Stegostoma tigrinum: one gene and its partners. The protein of the gene in region 1 binds, or shares a complex with, the protein of each later gene. Links are inferred from orthologs where the notes say so. Each region holds a gene or a part of one and is shown in the gene's direction. Other genes may lie near its edges. The genes, in order: tubulin alpha-1A chain, pierce1 and cfap276.

The links.
Region 2: the proteins of tubulin alpha-1A chain (region 1) and pierce1 are in contact, whole or in part, in a cryo-EM structure (PDB 7UNG), measured with the Homo sapiens proteins. The link is inferred for Stegostoma tigrinum from reciprocal best matches to the Homo sapiens genes TUBA1A and PIERCE1. Residues at the interface, in NP_001257328.1 of Homo sapiens: Met1, Arg2, Gln15, Asn18, Ala19, Glu22, Cys25, Leu26, Glu27, His28, Gly29, Ile30, Gln31, Pro32, Asp33, Met36, Pro37, Asp39, Lys40, Asp46, Asp47, Ser48, Asn50, Glu77, Gly81, Thr82, Tyr83, Tyr224, Thr225, Asn228; in NP_001041730.1 of Homo sapiens: Tyr28, Pro35, Gly36, Arg37, Phe38, Trp43, Phe44, Arg45, Gly46, Tyr47, Arg48, Thr58, Ser59, Asn60, Gln61, Ala62, Tyr63, Gly64, Arg66, His71, Glu72, Pro74, Phe77, Tyr78, Pro79, Asn80, Ser81, Asn82, Lys83.
Region 3: the proteins of tubulin alpha-1A chain (region 1) and cfap276 are in contact, whole or in part, in a cryo-EM structure (PDB 7UNG), measured with the Homo sapiens proteins. The link is inferred for Stegostoma tigrinum from reciprocal best matches to the Homo sapiens genes TUBA1A and CFAP276. Residues at the interface, in NP_001257328.1 of Homo sapiens: Lys112, Glu113, Ile115, Asp116, Leu117, Leu119, Asp120, Arg123, Lys124, Asp127, Arg156, Ser158, Val159, Asp160, Gly162, Lys163, Leu195, Glu196, His197, Ser198, Asp199, Tyr262, Pro263, Arg264, Trp346, Lys430, Asp431, Glu434, Val435, Val437; in NP_001231954.1 of Homo sapiens: Pro43, Trp44, Arg46, Leu47, Asn48, Thr50, Pro51, Thr52, Ile53, Thr54, Ser55, Arg57, Arg58, Ala60, Tyr62, Asp64, Ile67, Pro68, Lys69, Asp70, Asp71, Phe74, Arg75, Lys90, Ser91, Leu94, Leu95, Asn96, Lys98, Thr99.

The regions. Positions count from the first base shown.
Region 1 is NC_081404.1:13,027,752-13,035,562, reverse strand, and holds the start of tubulin alpha-1A chain, read left to right. Parts: upstream 1-4,798; 5' UTR 4,799-4,932; coding exon 4,933-4,935; intron 4,936-7,299; coding exon 7,300-7,522; intron 7,523-7,651; coding exon 7,652-7,800; intron 7,801-7,811. UniProt on the Homo sapiens protein: Tubulin is the major constituent of microtubules, a cylinder consisting of laterally associated linear protofilaments composed of alpha- and beta-tubulin heterodimers.
Region 2 is NC_081382.1:43,955,860-43,963,164, forward strand, and holds pierce1 (piercer of microtubule wall 1 protein), read left to right. Parts: upstream 1-4,269; 5' UTR 4,270-4,292; coding exon 4,293-4,447; intron 4,448-6,115; coding exon 6,116-6,194; intron 6,195-6,644; coding exon 6,645-6,833; 3' UTR 6,834-6,908; downstream 6,909-7,305. UniProt on the Homo sapiens protein: Microtubule inner protein involved in the attachment of outer dynein arms (ODAs) to dynein-decorated doublet microtubules (DMTs) in cilia axoneme, which is required for motile cilia beating.
Region 3 is NC_081374.1:21,710,377-21,718,287, reverse strand, and holds the start of cfap276 (cilia- and flagella-associated protein 276), read left to right. Parts: upstream 1-4,854; 5' UTR 4,855-4,991; intron 4,992-5,386; coding exon of another isoform or gene 5,387-5,518; exon of another isoform or gene 5,519-5,923; intron 5,924-7,840; exon of another isoform or gene 7,841-7,911. Other genes in the region: elapor1 (endosome/lysosome-associated apoptosis and autophagy regulator 1), read right to left, coding at 5,387-5,518. UniProt on the Homo sapiens protein: Microtubule inner protein (MIP) part of the dynein-decorated doublet microtubules (DMTs) in cilia axoneme, which is required for motile cilia beating. May play an important role for the maintenance of myelin-axon integrity.

The DNA.
Region 1 (7,811 bases):
GTGCCTTGCTAATGTTTATCACTTAACCAACATCACTGAAGACAATGTTATCTGGTCATCATCACATTGAGTGGTGTATGCAAATTGCTGACTACGTCTTCTACAGTACAATGAAGACAACTGGAGTGCTTCATTGGCTGTAAAGTGTTTGGAAGACCCTGAGATTATGAAATGCAAGTTTCTTTCTGTTCTTACAAACTAAACTGACTCAATTAGATGCCGTGATAACAAAGTGTGAAGCTGGATGAACACAGCAGACCAAGCAGCATCTTCTTTTCTGATGAAGGTTCTAGGCCCGAAACGTCAGCTTTTGTCCTAAGATGCTGCTCGGCCTGCTGTGTTCATCCAGCTCCACACTTTGTTATCTCAGATTCTCCAGCATCTGCAGTTCCCATTATCTCTGATTCAATTAGATACTGATTCTTTTCTTTCAACTCTCTCTGAAAGATATTGCACAATTATATAGGGAAATTGGATTGTGGAAGTGCCTACAATATCCTAAAAAGTGAATTGCAAATACTGTTTTATGGATGTGACAGCAGTCGTATGCTCTGATGTGATAAAAGAGGCTTACAACCCACCAGGGTGCCAAGGCAGTCTCCATGGTAACAGAGCTATTCATCTCCTAGCGACAGGATTGAAAAATTGACTGTCCATTCTAATTAGCTTTCCAACATGCAATCTAGGAGAGGCAAGCTGTGTTGAGATTACTGACAGTGGCAAATCTGACATGCTCTTGAACCAGTAAACAAAAGAATTGTGGAAATAATTTAATTATTTGTCCTTAAGTTTCATTGTAGCAGAAATGCGTTATTATAAAGGAAAAATGTTCTTCTTACTATTCATAAAAAACAATCAGCAAGCCAAAAGTGGCCCAACAGGATTCACATTTCTAATTATCTATCTGTCGATTTAATAAACCCAGGGTCAGCGATTGATTGATCGGTATCTTGGGCAGAATCAATGGCATTGGTAGACAGATTTCTGGATTAACATGTGTACATTTGAAGATGGCTGTGGTTCTGCCAGTAGGCAAGTGGATAATGCAGCCAGAAAATTAAACCAGAAAGGTCCTTCTGAATTGCCTGGGGAGTAAGAGGGATACTTCAACGTCTCCAAACTAAAGAATATCAGTTATACTTTCAGCTTTCCTCAGTGACTCTTGCTGAGAAGGACACATAGATAGCAGATGAGCATTATCATCAGCCCTGGCTGAGATTTAACCTATCATTGAACTACATATCAACAGTCACCATCTAGAATGACACAAGGGACAGCAAGCACAGGGGTGACAAGTGAATGGAACTTGATCCGCATTTGGAAATGGGCAGCAGAGTTTGGATGCCTACAGGTGAAGTGAACAGCTTGTAATCTGATTTCAGGGATCAGAAAACAGGCTGTATATCATTCTATATTGGTTCCTGGTCCACTTAAATCTAACTTTTTAAAATGGTCATTCTTGTATTATTCATTATCATTGCCTCACTCCAACATATCACTGTGTTCTACTCCAACTCTCCAAGAACTCCATGTTCTTTCAAATCTCCACCTCTTTTAACACCATCACTATCAACCATGTCTTCAGCCATCATAGACATGCAGCATAGAAACAGGCCCTTCAGCCCACCATGTCTATGCTGAACAACAAATACCAAACTAATCCCATTTACCTGTGCTTGGTCTGTAGCTTACTATGCCGTGGTATTTTAAGTACTCATCCAGCTGCTGCTCATATGTTGTGAGAGTAACTGCCTCCAGCACCCCCTCAGGCAGCATGTTCCATATTTCTACCACACTCTGGGGGAAAACGTTTTCCCCAGATTCCCTGAAAACCACCTACTCCTCACTATAAACGTATTTGCTCTGGTCTTAGACATATCTGCATGGGGAAAAGATTCTTGCATTGACCCTACCTATGTCTTGCATGATTTTGTACGCTTCAATCAGATCCCCCCGTCAGCCTCCTCTGCTCCAGGGAAAACAAGTCCAGGCTATTCAGTCTCTCCTGATAACTAAGACTTTCCATCCCAGGCAACATCCCGATGAATCTCCTCTGTATCCTCTCCAGTGCAGTCACATCCTTTGGATTTGGTGATTAGAACTGCACACAGTTCTCCGTCTGTGGATTAACCAGTTCTTTATAAAATTGTAACAAGACTTCCTTGTTCCAAATTCTATACCCTAGCTCATGAAGGCAAGCTTCCCGTACACCACCTTCACCGCCCCGTCTGCCTGTGCTGACACCTTCAGGGATCTATGGACTTGTGCACCAAGGTCTCTTTGTTCCTCAGTATTTGCTAGCAACTTACTATAGTCTCATAATTCTCCCAAATAACTATTGTTCTCTATATTCATTTAAAATTATTATTGTACACCAAATGTTTCTCCTTCATTAGATCATTATTGCAGTGCAACATTTCTGAAGTGTGTTATTTATCTAGAAGATTCTGTTGAACAAAGTTATGGATTGAATTTCAGCTGCCTGACATTTGTTGAAATGGAGTTATTTGTCATGAATTAGTTGATCTTGGGGACTGTAACTGCTAAAACTAACTTCAGGACCAAGAGCCAGGCAGGGTGAAATCAACTATGATTCCTACTCCGATTGTGAAAATCATGATACCAGAACTGTGAGGCTATACCCATCAGGAAAGGGTGAATAGGCTGTCTGTTTTCCCTTGAAAAAGATTAAGGGGTGAGCAAATAGCGATCTTTGAAAGGATGAATTTTTTTTATGGATACTGAAGGAATGTTTCCTCTTGTATGGAAGAGTATAGCCAGAGGTTAGCAACATGAAAGTCCCCAGGAAATCCAGTAGGGAATTCCCAAGAAATTTCTTCACCCAAAAGAATGGTGAGAATGTGGAATTCATTACCAGGGAGTGGCTGCAGGGAAATAGCATAGATTAATTCAAGTAGAACCTAGATGGGAATCTGAGACAAAGGGATTGGAGGGTTTTCTAATGGAATTGATTTGGGAAGGATGGGAAAAGGATCGTATGTGGATGGGGAGATTGGATTGTTTCCGTGCCCTCTTATTCTGCGTGGCTCCATATCACGCCATGTAGCAGCACGGTTGTGCCCTCACTCTCCTGACAATGACAAGCGATGAATGGCTGTTTAGGATCAACCATGTGAAAAAATGGTTACTTGGGTGATGTAGCAAATGGCTCATTGTGACTACCTAGTGCTCTCATCCTGAGGAAAAGGGGAGAAAGCAGTCACTGCAGAATGAATCACGTAGAACGCTGTAGCTGCAGTGTGAGTCACATGTTACACGAGCGACCATTCTTTTGAAATGCATAATTGTTACTGGGGGCGAATAATAATTTTTCCCACTTTAGAAAATATCCAGATATGGTTTTCTGCCCGTACAAATAAGACAGCGAAATTTGACTTCCACATATAACAGGCACATTTATATGTTCAGATAACATCAACAAATCTATTGGAGACGCTTACAATACAATCGAATCTGGACCCCTCCATTTCGAGACACAAACTCCCTCCATCAGCTGATAGGTGTGATTGAAGCTTACACCGGGCTAATGTCTGGTGTAATAATCAGCTTTATGCCTTCTCTACCAGCAAAGAAAACTACGTCCCTATATCCAGTGTGTAGGACTGCCTTTGTCTGTTTGCTGAAATATGCTACTCCGGACAGTCAAAATCACCTAAAATACAATAGAATAAAAATAATAATGCTCGTGGGAAATGTTTTAAAATTCGTTTTTTTTAATAATTCGACAAAATCAGGAATAGACTGTTTCTCTGAAACCGCTTCAATTTAAAATAGTTACACTGTATTGACGCGTGTCCAGCACAAAAGACTGAAAAATCCCCGCCCCACCCTGTCCCATTCCACAGCCAGTTTCGTAACATGAAACAATAGCAACAAGAGACAAAGTTGCTATTACCAAGGAATCCGTTTTATTTTGTCTCCCGATCCTGCCCCAATGGAGGGCAATATTTGCGGCGAAGTTTGTCGGGATGTGACAGTTTAGAACTGAGAAGGCGCCGTTAACAGAACGCGCTGGCCGAATTGCAACGTGTAGAACATTTTCTGATACAGTGAGAGAAACAGCAATTCCGTCTTATATCGTTACAAAGAGCTAATGTAACAAACTTCACGAATGTAACAAACTTCACGAATTATTGTATTAATTTTACAGTGGCCAGTAAATAAAATACCACCTTTTTACATGCAGGTTCTAGTCGTGTAATTCTGCTAAAAGATTGAACGTGGTTTGTAAAAGAATGCATTATTCGTTGGGGGCGGGAAATTCCTTGTGTAAAATAGATGGAAACGTGGCTTCGTTAATTATGAAAAACTTTTTAACGAAGAGAATAGTCAGAAAATTGTTAATCTGTAAATTGGTATTTATAAGATATTTAATAATTTCCTTCATCAAATAAGCAGTTCAACGTAGTCCATGATGTTATCAGTGAAAAAATATTTCCTTTGAATTTCTCTTTATAAGGCAAGGCCATCTTATTACTTCAGAAGAACAGTGGTTTGATTAATTGCTGAGGTATTTTATCCTCTGAAAACCGGAATCTTACTATTTCGTCGCCAGTTCAAATGCTGTTTTCTCAAATGTCAGCCTTTGTTCCAAATCACTCGTGGTCAAGGCGATTAGTTTATTCAGGAGCGTCTACCCAATCAGAACCCGCGAAGCGGTTAACGGAGCATGTTTCCTCCAATCAGAGAGTCAGCATTGTGATAGTTCCTCGTCACTCAAACAGACCTCCTCCAATGGGAATGGCTCCACTGACCAGGACCCGGTGTCTGGCCCCACTATAAGAACATGTCTCTCCCAGCTGAGGGTAGGTTTTTTCTTACGACGACCCGTAAAAGTCGCGCTGTAGGAAGAAGTCGCTGAAGTCCTCTCTTTATTCCATTTGTTTTGTCTACTATCAAGGACCAGGCATCATGGTAAGATGCTGTTTAATACAAAAAGAGTTTTCTTTCTCCCCAGCAAGCTACACGTTGGAATTTCGTGTTGTAAGACTTGTTCTCGTTTTTAAGCATCTTAATTGTTGTTTTTAAGTACACTTGTCTGACTTAATTTCTAAATTCCACTACGCAAATCTCGTGAACATAAACATCACGGGATAGCTAAATGCGGTCCGAAGTGAAAGGAACGGAAGAAAGGCTGATAGCGTGGGAGGTGGCTCATGTGAGCATAAACCGACCAAATGATCTGTTCGTGTTGCAAATACAATGCAACAAACTACGTTGCCTGTGAATGATTTAATTACAACGGGAATAACTTGCTATCAAAGATAGTGTACACGTACGCTATTCGCATGCAATTTTCCGTCAATACAATCAATTTCACACTTAATGCTAAGGGTGATGAAATAAAGCCATTTCAATGGACTTCTGCAAGTAATGTTATCCGGAGGGAAAAAATCCGTTACACTTAACAGCGAATTTAAGATCACTTCTAGGCTTTTCGCTAGCTAATCGCTGCATATGTCTACAAGGATATGTGAAAGAGATGTTGGAACACAATGGGCAGTGACTCTCAACGTGCAGAGGGTGTGAGCTGAATTTGGCATACTTCCCCCCCCCCCCCCCCCCCGACCCCCGAAATTGCTTTGTGTCGGGATTACTGACGTTTCCACACTTACTGCTCAATGGCTTGTCAACCATAGCTACAAACTGAAAGCTTTCGTCCCCATTCCCTAGTGAAATCACTGTAGGGCTGCTTAGTAACAGTACACGTCAGTGACGGTCATACGTGGACACAAAGCCAACGTCAACACGAGGTCACCGTGAAATAGGCAGCTTTTGTACATCGTAAAGCTGTGCTAAGAATCAAACTACGGATAATGGAGCCTGTCTAAATTACTGGGCTTAAAGATAAAAAAGATGGCGGTGTAGGGGAGAGTGGTTGTAATCCGTCTGCTTCCCTTCTGGGAGGGGTCGGGGGGAGGGGAGACATGGCGGCAGTTGGAGACAATCTGCACTGCAGTATGACCCCACCCAAATTCAGCATCCGAACCAGAAATTCTAGCTAGTTTGCGTATTGCAATGCTAAACGCAAGAATTGCACGGATGTGCCCTTTTTCTGGCCAGTATCAGGGATACAAGATCGATTCCAGCTTCGGGTGACTATGGAATTTGTATGTTTTCCCCGCTTCTGTATGGGTTTCTGCTGGTTTTCCCCTAACAATCCAAAAATGTGCAGGTTAGTTGGATTGACCGTGTTAAATTATCTATGGTGTTCACAGATGTAGGCTAAACGGATTAGCCACGGGAAATGCAGGGATGCGGAGGGTTTTAGGTCGTATGCTCTTTGGGGTGGGGTCGGTGCAGATCGAGGGGCCAAATAGCCCCCTTCTGCATGTAGGGATTCTGAGATTCTCCATGATACACGATTTTTTTTCATTTTAAAAAAAACTTTGGATTTATACAGCAATCCCATTCTAGGTTATAACTGTTTTTACAGATGGGTCTAGTGGGTTGTAAAATCGTTACTTGTGCTTCAATTTTTTTTCAGGAAACGTCTAAATCAAGTATCCTCTTAAATGTATACCCAAGAACAATCATTGATTTCAAAATAAGATTTAATTTCTTTGAGAAATGTCAACAATTGCTAAAAGCATTAAATGTATGTTGGGATGGTGGAGTACACTTTATGAAGTAATTGTTTTATCATAATTGACACTGATGCAATATTGAAGATGGCATATGCCGATTGCTAAATGGCTGGGTGATGTGCTTGATTTCCATATTACCTGCAAATCTGAAATACTAAATTTCAGTTCTGTTTCAGTCCCAACTTGAGTTGCGTGCCTGCCCCTTTCATATGTCTCTCCAGCATGAGTTGCACTCCTGTCAAGTATATGATACTTAAATAGAAGTTGACCTGATGCAGTTGAACCACATCTGTATAGGTCAAGCATAGACCTGATGCATGTGACCACAATGGGAGTAATACCACCCCCTCAAATGCTTTCCAATACAGTGTCATACAAGGAATCCAATCAAGTACAGATGCTTCTCATAAACTACATGTCTTCAGCTGCCTCAAATTGCTATGTGGTTACCTATCCAGCCTTTACATCATTCATGACTGTCCTAACAACTGATTAGTAAGACATCTGTGGCAACAATCAGATGTATTTTGCTGATGGAGGTAGCATCTGCCTGCCTACCCATCAAGGGAGTAGTAGACTTTCTCCTAAAGGTAATGCTTACCAGAGCATGAATGCAGTAAAAGTTTGTATGGAATGTTTTTAGATCAGATGTCAAACTAGTTGATCACCACTTTGTTTGTTTCTCTTACAGCGTGAGTGCATCAGTATCCATGTTGGCCAGGCTGGAGTCCAGATCGGAAATGCCTGCTGGGAGCTCTACTGCTTGGAACATGGCATCCAGCCTGATGGGCAGATGCCCAGTGACAAGACCATCGGAGGTGGAGATGATTCCTTCAACACCTTCTTCAGTGAAACAGGAGCAGGCAAACATGTTCCACGAGCTGTGTTTGTGGACTTGGAGCCAACTGTAATAGGTAGGTGAGGGGCATGTGTAACACTAACCGTGCAGACCTCTTCTCTGGTTATGCCACATGAGCCTGATTTCATCTTGTGGTTACATGTGTTGATTGTAACACTGAAATTGCACTGTCTCTCGATCCTAGATGAGGTACGTACTGGTACTTACCGCCAGCTGTTCCACCCTGAGCAGCTGATCACTGGGAAGGAAGATGCAGCTAATAACTATGCCCGTGGTCACTACACAATTGGCAAGGAGATCATTGACTTGGTTCTGGACAGAGTTCGTAAACTGGTGAGTTTAGT
Region 2 (7,305 bases), on another chromosome or scaffold:
TGTTATCATTGCTGAAACCCCCACTATCAACATCCTGGAGGTTACCATTGACCAGAAACTCAGCTGAACTCACCATATAAATACAGCAGCTACAAGACTGGGTCAGAGACTGGGAATACTGCAGCGAGTAACTCACCTCCTGACTGCCCAAATCCTGTCCATCATGTACAAGGCACAAGTCAACACTGCAATGGAATGCTTCCCATTTGCCTGGATGATGCATGTTGCTGTGACTGAAAGTCTGTTTGCAGTGGGTTTCTGCAGGGTTCAGACTTGATTTCATGCTGTTTGTGGTCTACGTTAACGACTTGGAATTAAATGGAGGAAGTTTGAGCAAGAAATTTGCAGATGACATGGGAATCAGTAGGTGATAAATAGCGAGGAGGATGGCAGTAAAGAACTGGGCAGAGCAGTGACAGATGGAATTCAACCCAGACACATTAGGGGCAATACACTTGGGTGGGTTGATAAGGTGAGGGAATACACTGTGAATGGTAGCGTTCTGGGAAGCACTGAAGGTCAGATGGAGCTCGGCACGTATCCCTGGCGATACAGGGCAGTTAGATAACAAAGTTAAAAAGACACCGAGGGTACTTAAATAAAACAAAGAACTGTGGATGCTGAAGATCTGAAACAAAAACAGAAATTGTTGGTGGAACTCAGCAGGTCTGGCAGCATCTGTGGGAAGAAAGTAGAGTTCAAGTTTCAGATCCAGTGACTCTTCATGTTCTGAAGAAGTGCTCCTGGACATGAAACATTACCTCTGCTTTCTCTCCTTAAATGCTGCCACACCTACCCAGTTTCACCAGCAATATCTATTTTTATTCATAAGGGCCTATATTAGCTGAGATGTAAGAATACAAGAACAGGGAGGTTATATTGGAACTGTACGAAACACCAGCCAGGATGTAAGGAAGGTGTCTCTGCAGTTCTGGGAGGACATGACGCTGTAGAGGACATTTACCAGAACACTACCTGGGCTGGAGGATCTGAGCTGTGAGGAAAGATTGGGTAGACTGGGAACAGTGAAAATTGAGATGGACCTGACAGAGGGTATAAGAACATGAGGGAGATAGATAGAGTGGATAGGAAGGGCCGTTTTTCCAATTGTGGAGAAATCAATAAGCAGGGGCATAGATTTAAGGTCAGAGGTCGAAGGCGAAGAAGTGATTTGATTTTAGAGAATGTTGGGAATCTGGAACTCTGTGGTCGAATGGATTGTTGAATCAGAAACTTCGGTAACATTGGACAGCATTTCGATTCATTTGCATTGCCATAGCCTCCAGGCCGCTGAGCCATGAGCTGGAAAATGGGATTTGTGTTGTCAGATCTTTGTGCAGACCTTATGGGCTGAATGGCCTTCTTTTGTGCTATAAAGGTTTTAGAGTGTATGAGTGTATAAGAATAGTGCGCACCAAGCTAAACACTACCCATGCTAGGTCAAATTCCTGGAACTCTCGGACAGTACAGCCAATTCACCTACTGCACCAGGGACTGCAGCAGTTCAAGGAAGCCGCTCACCACCGCCGTCTCAAGCATGATGGATAATAATTGTTGGCTGATCCAGGGACTCCCACATCCTGGAAAAGAATTTTAAAATGCCTCGTTATTGGCTCGTTGTTTGCTGCTGGTAATTTTTCCTGAGCCATTCACTCAGTGACTGGTACCTTGCTATTTCCTTCCAGCCCAATGCATGGGCAAAGGCTGGCCCGAGCCCAGCTCAGCAATGGGGAGAATCAAATCCACCACATTGTCATTCCTGTGAACCCCACAATGGCTATCCTGCCCATTTGCCCCGGTACATCAAAAATGAATGAAAATTTGAACAATGCTTAGAAGACATAAAACTGAAAAGTGGTATATTGTGAAATGTTGGGATATTTAAAGAATTTGTGTAACTTCGAGTTGTGCAAATGACTTCTTGGCAAGCTCAGGGCTGATCTGCTGAGTTTGCAATTCTCATGTGATTGAGAAAGTTTGAAATTAGCTAATGGCCAGCGCAAAAGAATGTCAAATTCAACTGAAAAAGCTCGAGATTCCATGATGCTCAGAAATAATTAGGAGAGTAGTTGGGGGAATTTTCAAACTTCAGTTAACAGGGGAGTCCCCACTTCGTCTCAGAATCCCTACAGTGTGGAAACAGGCCAACACCAACCCTCTGAAGACAATCCCACCCATCCCTTTACCCTTAACCCTGCATTTCCCATCGCTAATGCACCTAACCTACACATTCCTGAACAATATGGAAAATTTAGCATGACCAATGTTTTCTCCGGGTGCTCCGGTTTCCTCCCACTGTCCAAAGATGTACAGGCTAGGTCGATTGGCCATGCTAAATTGCTGGTAGTGTTCAGGGGTGTGTGGGTATAGGGGGATGGGCCTGGGTGGGAAGCTTCAAGGGGCGGTGCGGACTTGTTGGGCCAAAGGGCCTGTTTCCACACTGTAGGGAATCTAATCTAATCAATCCACCCAGCCTGCACATCTTTGGTCTGTGAGAGGAAACTGGATCACCTGGTGGAAACCCACGCAGGCAATGTGCAAACTCCACTCAGACATTTGCCCAGGAATGGAATCAAAACCAGGCCCCTGGTGCTGCAAGGCAGCAGGGGTGACCACAGTGATTTCACCACAGCTACTTATCGAGTTCGATCCACCAAAGCAGGGAACTGATGTCCTTGTTTGCTGAGGTTTCAAATATTCAGCTGTAAGGGCATGCAAGAGACTGGAAAGCAGCCAAGACAGGCTCAGGCACATGGTATGAAAGCAGAAAGTGGTGCAGGAATTGGCAAAATGGGAACTTACCGCTAAGGAAAACAGAGAATTCAAATTTATTAAAACTGGTGGGAGGTTCAGAAAGGTTGGTAGGCAGAAAGACTGGCTTGCAGGAGGTGCACAATTATAATACTTAATCAGAGGCGGCAGTGGGCACAGTTAAGCAGAACTCCATTTTACAAAAAATGGATTTGAGTAATCTGAAGAGAAGTCCAGATACAGTTCCAAAAGGAAACATTAGGTTGCCTTCTCAAAACAAGTCCACGTTGCTGGAGGGAGGGAGCAAAGGACCTTGAGAAAACTGATTCCTGGGACAAAGGGGTTGAATCCTGGACGTATGCCCAGTGACAGTCAGTGTGTATGGGACTGTACCCCAGTGAGAGTCAGTGTGTGTGGGACTGTACCCCAGTGAGAGTCAGTGTGTGTGGGACTGTACCCCAGTGAGAGTCAGTGTGTGTGGGACTGTACCCCAGTGAGAGTCAGTGTGTGTGGGAGCTGTACCCCAGTGAGAGTCAGTGTGTGTGGGTCTGTACCCCAGTGAGAGTCAGTGTGTGTGGGACTGTACCCCAGTGAGAGTCAGTGTGTGTGGGACTGTACCCCAGTGAGAGTCAGTGTGTGTGGGAGCCGTACCCCAGTGAGAGTCAGTGTGTGTGGGACTGTACCCCAGTGAGAATCAGTGTGCGTAGGACTGTACCCCAGTGAGAGTCAGTGTGTGTGGGAGCTGTACCCCAGTGAGAGTCAGTGTGTGTGGGAGCTGTACCCCAGTGAGAGTCAGTGTGTGTGGGTCTGTACCCCAGTGAGAGTCAGTGTGTGTGGGACTGTACCCCAGTGAGAGTCAGTGTGTGTGGGTCTGTACCCCAGTGAGAGTCAGTGTGTGTGGGACTGTACCCCAGTGAGAATCAGTGTGCGTAGGACTGTACCCCAGTGAGAGTCAGTGTGTGTGGGAGCTGTACCCCAGTGAGAGTCAGTGTGTGTGGGACTGTACCCCAGTGAGAGTCAATGTGTGTGGGACTGTACCCCAGTGAGAGTCAGTGTGTGTGGGAGCTGTACCCCAGTGAGAGTCAGTGTGTGTGGGACTGTACCCCAGTGAGAGTCAGTGTGTGTGGGAGCTGTACCCCAGTGAGAGTCAGTGTGTGTGGGACTGTACCCCAATGAGAGTCAGTGTGTGTGGGACTGTACCCCAGTGAGAGTCAGTGTGTGTGGGACTGTACCCCAGTGAGAGTCAGTGTGTGTGTGGGACTGTACCCCAGTGAGAGTCAGTGTGTGTGGGACTGTACCCCAGTGAGAGTCAGTGTGTTTGGGACCGTACCCCAGTGACAGTCAGTGTGTGTGGGACTGTACCCCAGTGAGAGTCAGTGTGTGTGGGACTGTACCCCAGTGAGAGTCAGTGTGTGTGGGAGCACTGCCCGAAGGTGTGGGAGACGTTCCCCAGTAAGAGTCTCCCATTGGCTGCTGAAACACTGCTGGTCTGGAATGTATCAGTTCGTTGCCTGGTAACGATCTTGCTGCATTTTCTCGAGATGTCTCTGTGCGGAGTGAAGGAACCGACCGTGAAATATCTGAAAACCAGCCCAGAGCCAGAGCCCCCCGCCCCGTCCCGGACTAGCGAGTACTACCGGGTGAAACCTGGCCTCCCCGAGAGATTCGAGCATCCGAGCTGTTTCCAGGGATATGGGTACGGGTTTGGGATTTCACACCGGCGAGGGAGAGGAGGTGTGGGGTAGTGTGTCAGTGTTTTCAGGGGGTGCCCAGGGGTAGTGTGTCAGTGTTTACAGGGGGTGCCCAGGGGGAGTGTGTCAGTATTTATAGGGGTTCCCCAGGGGTAGTGTGTCAGTGTTTACAGGGGGTGCCCAGGGGGAGCGTGTCAGTGTTTACAGGAGAGTTCCCAGGGGGAGTGTGTCAGTATTTACAGGGGGTGCCCAGGGGGAGTGTATCAGTATTTACAGGAGAGTTCCCAGGGGGAGTGTATCAGTATCTACAGGGGGGGTCCCCAGGGGTAGTGTGTCAGTGTTTACAGGAGGGTCCCCAGGGGGCGTGTGTCAGTGTTTACAGGAGGGTCCCAAGGGGGAGTGTGTCAGTGTTTACAGGAGGGTCCCCAGGGGGAGTATGTCAGTTTCCCAGGCTCCCTTGGGGCAGGGAAGTGTGTCAGTATTTACAGGGCTTCTCCTGGGGTGGGGGGGATGTAGGGATTCTATGATTCTATGTGGTGATCTCATGGAAACATTAAAGAGATGAGGGGCTTGACAGGGTTACACTGAGGTGTGTTTTCTCTTGGATGGAAAGCCTAGCACAAGGGGCACCATCTCAGGATAAGGGCATTATCATTGAGGCCCAGGATGTGGACAAATTTCTTCACTCAGAGAATTGTGAATCTTTGGAATTCTCCAGAGGGTGCAGGCTGTTTAACTGCTGAGTATATTTAACGTTGGGATAGAAAGATCATAGAATCCCTACAGTGTGGAAACAGGACCTTCAGCCTAAAAGTTCACACTGACCCACACCGCATCCCACCCAGACCCATCCCCCATGACCCATCTAAATCCACACACCCCTGGCTAATTTAGCACGGCCAAGCCACCTAGCCTGCACATCTTTGGACTGAGAGGGGAAACCGGAGCACCCGGAAGAAACCCACGCAGACAGGGGGAGAATGTGCAAACTCCACACGGACAGCTACCCGAGGGTGGAATCAAACCCAGGTCCCTGGCCCTGTGAGGCTGCAGTGCTAACCACTGGGCCACCGTGATACCTTGTCCCTCAGGGAAGAAACAGATATGGGAAAATGGAGTTGAGATCAAGGATCAGCGTAAGGGTCTGCTCTTGGATTCTTAGTAAAGGGCAAAAGGATTGAGGGCCAGAAAAAGGGGTGTGAGGTGGTGGCCTGGTGTAGAACCTTAACGTCAGAGCCTGGGGCTGTTGTGGTTGGTATCAAGTAGTAACTCCTCACAAAGGGGTGCAGAAATCTGAAACACTTTCCTCCTCACTCAAAAAAAACGGCAGCAGTGGAACTGTATCTGAGGGAGGGTGAGTGCTGAGTGTTTGCTGCAGGAGAAAAAAAAAGTCAAAACAGCGAATCGTTCATTGTTGTTTGATGACACTTTTCAAGGTAAATGGAAATTAAAAGACCTGTCAACCTCCAATAAAAGAATGAAAGAACCGGAAGAGAGGCTGAACAGCCTCGTCCGGGTCATAGTTTGATCAGCAACCAGTGGTAAACAATGGGAAAGGTGATTGGCTGAATGGCCTTTCTCAGGAGTAGCCCAAGAGACAGTATTTATATAAATGCACATGTTTGATATCTGATTATCACCAGACTTGCATTTCATTGAATGACAATTGACAGATCTCGGCCAACCAACCCACTGTACAGGACGACAAACCAGACCTATGGCAGTCAGCAGCCAACAGTTCATGAAATGCCGGTAAGTAACGTCACTCGCTGAAGTCATCGGGTTTCATGGGAATTTCACAGAAATCTAACAGCCATGTGGGGTTGAATGGCCAATTTATAGTCGCTGTCCAGTTTGACAAATTCAACATAATTGGGATCCATACCTCACTGAGAGTCAGTGTGTGTGGGACTGTACCCCAGTGAGTTTCAGTGTGTGTGGGACTGTACCCCAGTGAGAGTCAGTGTGTGTGGGACTGTACCCCAGTGAGAGTCAGTGTGTGTGGGACTGTACCCCAGTGAGAGTCAGTGTGTGTAGGAGCCGTACCCTGGTGAGGGTTGGTGTGCATGGAAGCTGTACTGCAGTGACAGTCAGTGTGTGGGAGCCGTACCCCCGTGGAGAGACTGGGTTGTAGATCTGTAGCAGATCAAAGTGGGTGTAACTTACCCCATTCTCATCGTTGCTGACCGCTTGACTTTCCAGACCAGCTATTACACGGTGCCTCAGAAACTTTCAGAACATTTAAGCAAATGTGGGATGTACAAGGACCATGGATTTAACGTTGGCATGGAAAAATCGCTGGTCACTGGACCGGAAAACCTGATCACATTCCAGGACCGGCTGAACTTTCATCGGTCCTACTTCTCTGCTGGTCCTTCCTTCACAGATTAGGCAAGGCCCTGTTACTGCACAAACTCCAAATACAAATATGTTGTTGCAGCTTCTCAAACGCTGTCAACCCTCTGTGTAAAACTTTTCATTCATTGTATTTAAATACATCTTTTTAATACAAACTCAAAACTATTTGTCTTTTCTTTAAAAAAATGACAATTCACATTGCTTCAACCGTTCCAGTTGGTGCGAAAGATAGAGATTCACTGAGATCCAATTCCTAATTCAGACACAACTGGAGGGTCAGTGCTTTTCTTTTTAAAGGAGGGTGGCAGTGCTGCAGGAGTATTTCTCTGTTGAAGACACTATGTATTTTACAGGAAACATTAATGCAAAGACTGGTTTCCCTCGTGCCTTTCTACTGGTGTTCTGTTCCCACTGGTTCCCTCATTGTGAATGTCTATTTACCTGTTGCTGGTGTTTCTGGGGCCTCACTGCTGGAGCGTTACAGGTACCAGTGATCATTTATACC
Region 3 (7,911 bases), on another chromosome or scaffold:
AACAATTCAGAAACTGATCTGTATTTTTTAAAACTACTATCTTTTTAGACTCACCAGTTATTTACAAACTGTGCGTATGTGTGTTGTGTTACAATTTCTTCTGTGCAGTAAACAATAAACCCACACATTTTGTTCACTAAAGAAGCCTGGTTGAATTGGCTAATTTTATAACATAAGTTTATTTGGCTGTGGTAGATACGTATCCAGAGGGAAGGGACCCTTTTAAATTGTACTGCTGCAATGAACTGAGGGATGGACAAAGTAAAAAGGGTAGCCAGTTCATGCTTCCTCACCTGAGAGCCTAGACAGTGGTGTAGTTGTGATGTTACTGGATCTGTAATCCAGAACCTGAGGCTAATTTTCCAGGGATATAGATTTGAATGCCACCATCGCAGATGGTGCACTTTGAATTTAATGACAAGCTGGTCTAATGGCAACCATATTGATTGTTGTGAAAACCCATGTGGTTCACTAATGTCATTTACAGAAGGAAAATCTGCTGTTGTTACTTGGTCTGGCCAACATGTGACTCCAGACCAATGGCAATGTGGTTGGTCCTTAACCACCTAGAGATGGACAATAAATACTGCCTAGCCAGCGATGCCCTCATCCCATGAATGAATAAAAAATTCTGTGCCCTCAGGAAACCACGTGACCAGGCATCGTTAACACAGCATGCAGCTGGAGGAATACAGCAGGTGGGGCAGCACCACAGGAGTAGGAGAATCGCCATTTCAGGCCAAGATCCTTCATTAGGACTGATCTGCTGTGTTCCTCTAGCTCCACACTCTGACTCCAGCATCTGTAGTTCTTGCTATCTCCATTTTACGTTTGGTGGCTTGATTTTGAAAAGTGGATGTGGACACTTAAACAGGAGGCTCAATGAGATATTCTCATTGAAGAATTTATAAACTTCAATTCCCTCCCAATAAGAATGCACCATGAGGACCAGAGAGTGAATGGGTCCAGGGAGACAACTACATTCGCTAATGATTATGAGCTGATCCACAAACTCCTGTTTCCTAGTCACCTCAACCAATTGGAAAGGATGGGAAGAGCAATGGGTAAGTTAGGCATTCCTGGGAGAGAAGGAAATGTTGGAAGCCTTCCTCAGGACTGCAAGAATGATGTTGAGATGAATGGGGAGGCCACAAAACTTGTGTATTTTAACTACTGAGAGATGGGGCATGTCTGGGCCAACCTTTGGTATTACCAGAGAAATGAAAGGGGATTTATTGGAGCACAATCACCCATTCAGACAATGAGAGTCAGTCAGAAAGTATAGCAAACCAAGCTATGACTCCGACTGCAGCTGTGAATCCATGTAAAGGCGCTCCTGAGAGTACAGATGAGGTTAAACAAATCCCGGAGAGTTACTGGAATTTTATGAGCAAATGAAATGTGGCCACATTTCCCTAGTGTGAGGTAAGCAAGCCTCTAGCAATACTGAGGGATACCAGGGCCAGTCAGACTCTATTGTTATGAAAAGGCATGGCCCTCCTACCTGAGAGTGCAGCAAGTGGCAAGGTGCCAGTAGAAAGGATTAAAAGAGAGTATATGACTATTCCCCATTACCAGGTCCTGCTGGAGCGTGACCTTGTGTTGGGACTAGTGATCATGAAAGTTGTTGTACTCTGCCTGTGATAAAATCATAGAATCTCTCCAGTGTGGAAGTAGGCCGTTCAGCCTATTGAGTTCACACCACCCTTCCGAACTGCATCCCACCAAGACCCACCTTCTCACCCCACCCCTGTAACCCTGCATTTTCCATGGCTAAAATCAATGACTAGCATAATAGCATTCCCAATAGCTTCCAAGAAAACTACTGAGGAGGGAGACCAACCAGCTGCAGGAAAAAATGCCTGTCATTTTCCCTGACTGTGTGGTCTGTCAGATTATCAGATTATTTTTTGGGAGTTTAAAAGACTCCAAGCAGGTCGTAAATAGAGCTTTCTTGATAGCAACCCAACAAGTTGACCCATTGTTAAAATCATTAGCTCAGGCTGCTTATACTGGAGCTAAGGTAGAAGCAGTACTTCGGTGCTCCAACATTAAAAATGAAGTGCTGGTGAGAAAACGTAGACCTCTTCACTGATCTGCAAAAGAGGAGCAGGCAGCAGAGCCAGCAAGATCCTGTAGGCAATACTATGGCCAAGTCATGAAATTCTGATGGCGAGGCATGTCAGTGTATGCAAAACTCAAGCCCTAACATTTCTACTGGTCACAGCTTCATAGGAATGTAGAAAAGTTTTCAGAATCTACTGCACTTCCAGTTTGTAGGAAAACCCTAACCTGCAATAAAACCTGCACTTGATTCGCCCTTCAGTTTTTAGGGATGTATTCAACAGGGTGTTAATGGGCTATGTGGGACTCCAGCTCAAAATAAGAGGAGGATATCAGTGTATCCTTACTGTCACAGATATGGTTATTCTCCTGAGAACCACTATCTAGCAAAACAGTGGTGACGTAACTGATCCAATTCTTTACCTGGTGTGACCTGCCCCATTGTCTCAAGGCAGTTTTACAATTCTCATATTTGTGTTCTCATCTCTCAGTGGTCATGTACTTCCCTATTTCTATCACGTTATCATCCACTACAACTTCCCAAGGTCTCTGCACTCCGCCAAACCTGGCCAATTGTGCATCTCTGACTTCCTTTGTTCCACCATTGATGGATGTGCATTTAGTTAATTGTCTAAGCTCTGACTCTAAGCTATGCCCTCGTGCAAAACATCTCCTTTGAGAGTATAGGCTGCAGAATGCGAACTGGACAGATTCTCACCATTGTTTAAATCATTTCACATCAATGTTTTCCTCTCTCCCCCATGATATGAAAGGAGGTACATGGGGTGAATTTGCCAAAAATTGTTACTCCAATGACATAGGCAGTCATAGAACATAGAACATTACAGCACAGTACAGGCCCTTCAGCCCTCGATGTTGTGCCGACCTGTCATACCGATCTCAAGCCCATCTAACCTACGCTATTCCGTGTACGTCCATATGCTTGTCCAATGACGACTTAATTGTACCTAAAGTTGGCGAACCTACTACCATTGCAGGCAAAGCGTTCCATTCCCTTACTACTCTCTGAGTAAAGAAACTACCTCTGACATGTGTCCTATATCTTTCACCCTTCAATTTAAAGCAATGCCCCCTTGTGCTCACCATCACCATCCTAGGAAAAAGGCTCTCCCTATCCACCCTAGCTAACCCTCTGATTATTTTATATGTTTCAATTAAGTCACCTCTCAAGCTTCTTCTCTCTAATGAAAACAGCCTCAAGTCCCTCAGCCTTTCCTCGTAAGACCTTCCCTCCATACCAGGCAACATCCTAGTAAATCTCCTCTGCACCCTTTCCAAAGCTTCCACATCCTTCTTATAATGCGGTGACCAGAACTGTACACAATACTCCAAGTGCGGCTGCACCAGAGTTTTGTACAGCTTCACCATAACCTCTTGGTTCCGGAACTCGATCCCTCTATTAATAAAAGCTAAAACACTGTATGCCTTTTTAACAGCCCTGTCAACCTGGGTGGCAACTTTCAAGGATCTGTGTACGTGGTCACCGAGATCTCTCTGCTCATCTACACTGCTAAGAATCTTACCATTAGCCCAGTACTTTGCCTTCTGGTTACTCCTACCAAAGTGCATCACACTTCACACTTGTCTGCATTAAACTCCATTTGCCACCTCTCAGCCCAGTCAAATAAATGTCACTGCAATCTCGAGGCAAACATCCAAATAGAAAAACGCAGCAGGTTTGGCTGCATCTGTGAGGAAAAATCAAAGTTAATGGTTCGTTCTCAGGAAGGGTCACTGGACCCCAAACCTTACCTCTGATTTATTTTCCTCACCGATGCTGCCAGATCCGCTGAGCTTTTCCAGCAACTCCTGTTTTTGTTGCTGATTCACAGCTCTTGTCAAACATTCAAATATCTTACTCCCCTGTTACCATTTTAACATGCGTCTAAGTTCGCATCAGCTAAGTTCAAGTTTAAAAATTATATTAAATATTTAACAATTCAAGTCTCCTACATCACTGCCTGGGCAATGAAACAGGCTGATGCATCTGTCATGTAGAAAAGGCTGAAAGATAGTCAAACACTTCCAAGAATTTTACATATTATGTGCTTTGCTGTTGTTTGTAGAATTATTGCGAAGCTCATCATTGGGGCTCAGTTGGGTCAGGTGGCTGCACGGCTGTGTGTTCAATTCACCCACAGGCTGAAATTACCATAAATGGCTTTCCTTCTCAACCTCCCCCTTTGTTTGAGGCGCGGTGACCCACAGGTAAACCATCAGTATCATCTGTCTCTTTCAATAGAGACAGCAGTGCTACGGTCTGGTAGGGCGATTAGGAAGTTTGTGATCTTGTTTCAGAGGTTTTACTTCATTTTAATTAAAGGCATACTTTCTTAATTCATAGAACAGATAAGGAAACGTGTTTCTATTGCAGTTATTTTCATATTCAAGGTTAAAAATATAGATTAAATATTTGATCGAAAAACAATGTCCTGAATAGTTTGCATCAAATGAAGTTATCAACAAATATTATTAGCGACCACCCTGAAGAAAACGCTATTATTGTTTCACCATTGGAATGGGTTAGTTCGCGATCTCACATTTTTCACCTTTGCTGCTCTCTCCCTTGTAATATATATATGGTAATTTTTTTTATTTTGAAAGAAAATCGAAAATACGTTTTACGCAGGTTGATCGTGATGTCTTGGTGTAAAACCTGCAGGTTGACTGTCAGGTTATCACAGCATTTCACACACCACCTAGCGGTACACACTGTCCTGCGCCCGCGCTTCGACACAGACACGGACTTCAATAGGTGCCAACAGGAACCTTCACTGAACTCTTCAGAAGCTGACATCGACCTGCACGCCAACAGATTGATCACCAAACGGTGGTTTTACCGGCAATATTTTCAGGTCACGTTGATACAATGAGATATAACTCAAAGGAGTCGAAAGAATTTTTGTGTGAGTAACATTTTGTGGCTTTCGATTAAGAGGTAATAACAACAAACACTTCACACCTTCATTAAACAAACACTTGTCAATTTCAGGATTTGTGTAGAATACAATTGATTCGCAGTTTACAGCAACAACTCTAATTATTAAACATCCTTAATGTGCCGTGCGACAGCTGCCAAATCAAAATTAAGTATTCCATATGGACACGGTACTAAACAAGTAAAATGCCTCGTTGAAATATCTTGTGCACAACAAACTTTGCAACTTGATAATTATGCATGCTTGTCTACGTTTCGGTTCAAATAGTAAACAAAGCTAAGAAATTCTACAATTTATTTTCAATCATAACTGCATTATTACAAATACAGAATAGCTAGAATACAGTAATGAATGCACCGTACCTCTTTGCAAATTGGAAGGTTTTCTCCAGACTGGTCCTGCAGGCTTAATATTTGCTGAGGTAATAATAGAAAACCTGTTGAGAAAAACAAAACACAAAGGAACAGACGAGGAAACGAGGTATTCCCACTCATGACTCGTCAGCTTGAGAGATAAATGTTGCGGACAATAAAATTGCAAGAGGGTCTGGGGGAATAGCAGACTCTCTCTCTCTTTCTCCTTGGCTGCCACGCCGTGCCTCGGACTTGTCAAATTGCGGGCACTGTGGAACTGAACTGGTGTCGCCGGGTCACGACCGTTCGTCAATTCGCGGAAATTCGCGGAAATTGCCGAGTCACACAGACAAACAGCGCAAGTGGCAGCTGCGCTGCCTTCTCAAGACGGACGGAAAAAAACAGTTGAGGCGGTGCGTCTTTCCCATGGGCTGTCTACACCAGACAACAAATGCAGCAAAGTTCTGTCTTATCTTCGAAATAATCATGCAGCGTCTGATACCGGCGTAAAACATTGTTGCACTACATCATTCCAATCTTGCGCAATAGGAGCGGACAAGAGGGACATGACAAGTGAAAGCTCTGAATCTTTAAAATAGGAATTCGACATTCTGTCCTTTAAATAATTCACATTCTGAGCACTGAATCTAAACGGGTCATCTTCGAAATTCTATTTCGATTCCAAACAAGCAGAACGTAAAAACTAAACAACTTATAGAACGAAAGAACAGAATGGTCTCTCGTCTGGTTAGATTTAAACTGCCCCTAAAATACATGCCCTCATTGTTCAAAAATGATCACTTTAAGATGAACACACACATCACCAGTGGAATTCAGTGGCCAATAGTATGCCAGGATTTTGTCTTGTTATTTTTAGCAGCATGTCCATCAGCTACCTTGCTGAATCCATTTAGGTGTAATAATTCTTCCTTCAAATCATTGGCATTTTCAGAGGGATAATCGACATTGGAGCGGGAGTAGGCTATTTGACATCTTTATCCTGCTTCATCACTCAACTGAACAATGACCTTCTGCCTCACTATTTCCCTCAACTATCCCCAAACCCCTTAACATGTTGTTTAAGTAGAAAGCTAATCATCTCTCTGTCAGGTTGCCCCTCAGCCTCCTGCATTCCAGTTACAACAAACCCAGGTCTTTCTTAATAGCTAAAATCCCCCTATACCTGCCAACATCCTGGTAAACCTTTTCTGTTCTGACTCCAATGCATCCACATCCTTCTGGTAGTGTGGACCAGAACTGTATGCAATATTCTAAGTGTGGCCTAACTAAAGTTTAGGGTGGCATGCTGGCTCAGTGGTTAGCACTGATGCCTCACAGCACCAGGGACATGGGTTCAAGTCCAACCTCAGGCGATTGTGTGTGTGTGGAGTTTGCACATTCTCCCCGTGTCTATGTGGGTTTCCTCCAAGTGCTCCAGTTTCCTCCCACAGTCCAAAGATGTGCCGGCTAGGTGGATCGGCCATGCTAAATCGTTGATAGTGTTCAGGGATGTTTAGGCTGCAGGGGCTGGGGCTGGGTGGGATGTTCTAGGGGTCAGTGTGAACTTGTTGGGCCGAAGGGCCTGTTTCCACACTGTAGAGATTCTATGATCTCTTACTTGAATATACTCAGTGACAGAGCCCCATTCCTCTGGAGTGGAGATTGCTGAAAATTTACCATCCTCCTTCACACAGATATACAAGGTGTAGAGCTGGATGAACACGGCAGGTATGGTGTGTGAATGGGGATGCGACAGGAGGAGTATAAACAGATCACCTATGATCTTTTTGAATGGCACAGCAGGATCATGGGGAAGAATGGTCTACTTCTGCTCCTGTTTCAGACTGGCAATGGAACCAAAGACTCTGAAGACACACAGAAAACAGCTAAATATTGTTAGTGAAGGAAATTTCTATAGAAGTATGAGCTCAATAGTTGAAGTGATCTGTCTCATGTTTGTAATATATATGAAATCACTTGAGCTGTCACACACAGGAGAAGTAAGTTTTTTTTTAAATTTCAGTGTTCCGACTGAATTGACTTTATATTAGCTTCATCTGCCTTTCCTGTGGATGTAATGATTTCATCATTTTTTGTCATCTCCACCTGAAACGTCAGCTCTCCTGCTCCTGCAATGCTGCCTGCCCTGCTGTGTTCCTCCAGCTCCACACCTTGTTATCTAAATAAATGAGAATTTGTTTCTATTCCTTCAGTTACGTTTGTAGACTATTGTGTACTACAAAGTGGAAATTAACCTTAGAATGCTGCTTATTTGTATTTGCCAACAACTTTACTCCCTAATAATAAAGTTGTTAAGTTATACAGCATGATAAACAGACCCTTCAGTCCAACTAGTCTATGCCAACTATGTTCCCAAACTAAACTAGTCCCACCTGCCTTCGTTTGGCCTGTATCCGCCAAACCTTTCCTATTCATTTTTCTTTATTCTTTATTGATTCACAGGATGAGGGCTTGGCTGGGCAGGCAGCATTTATTACCCATCCCTAATTGCCCAGAGGGAAATTGGGAGCCAA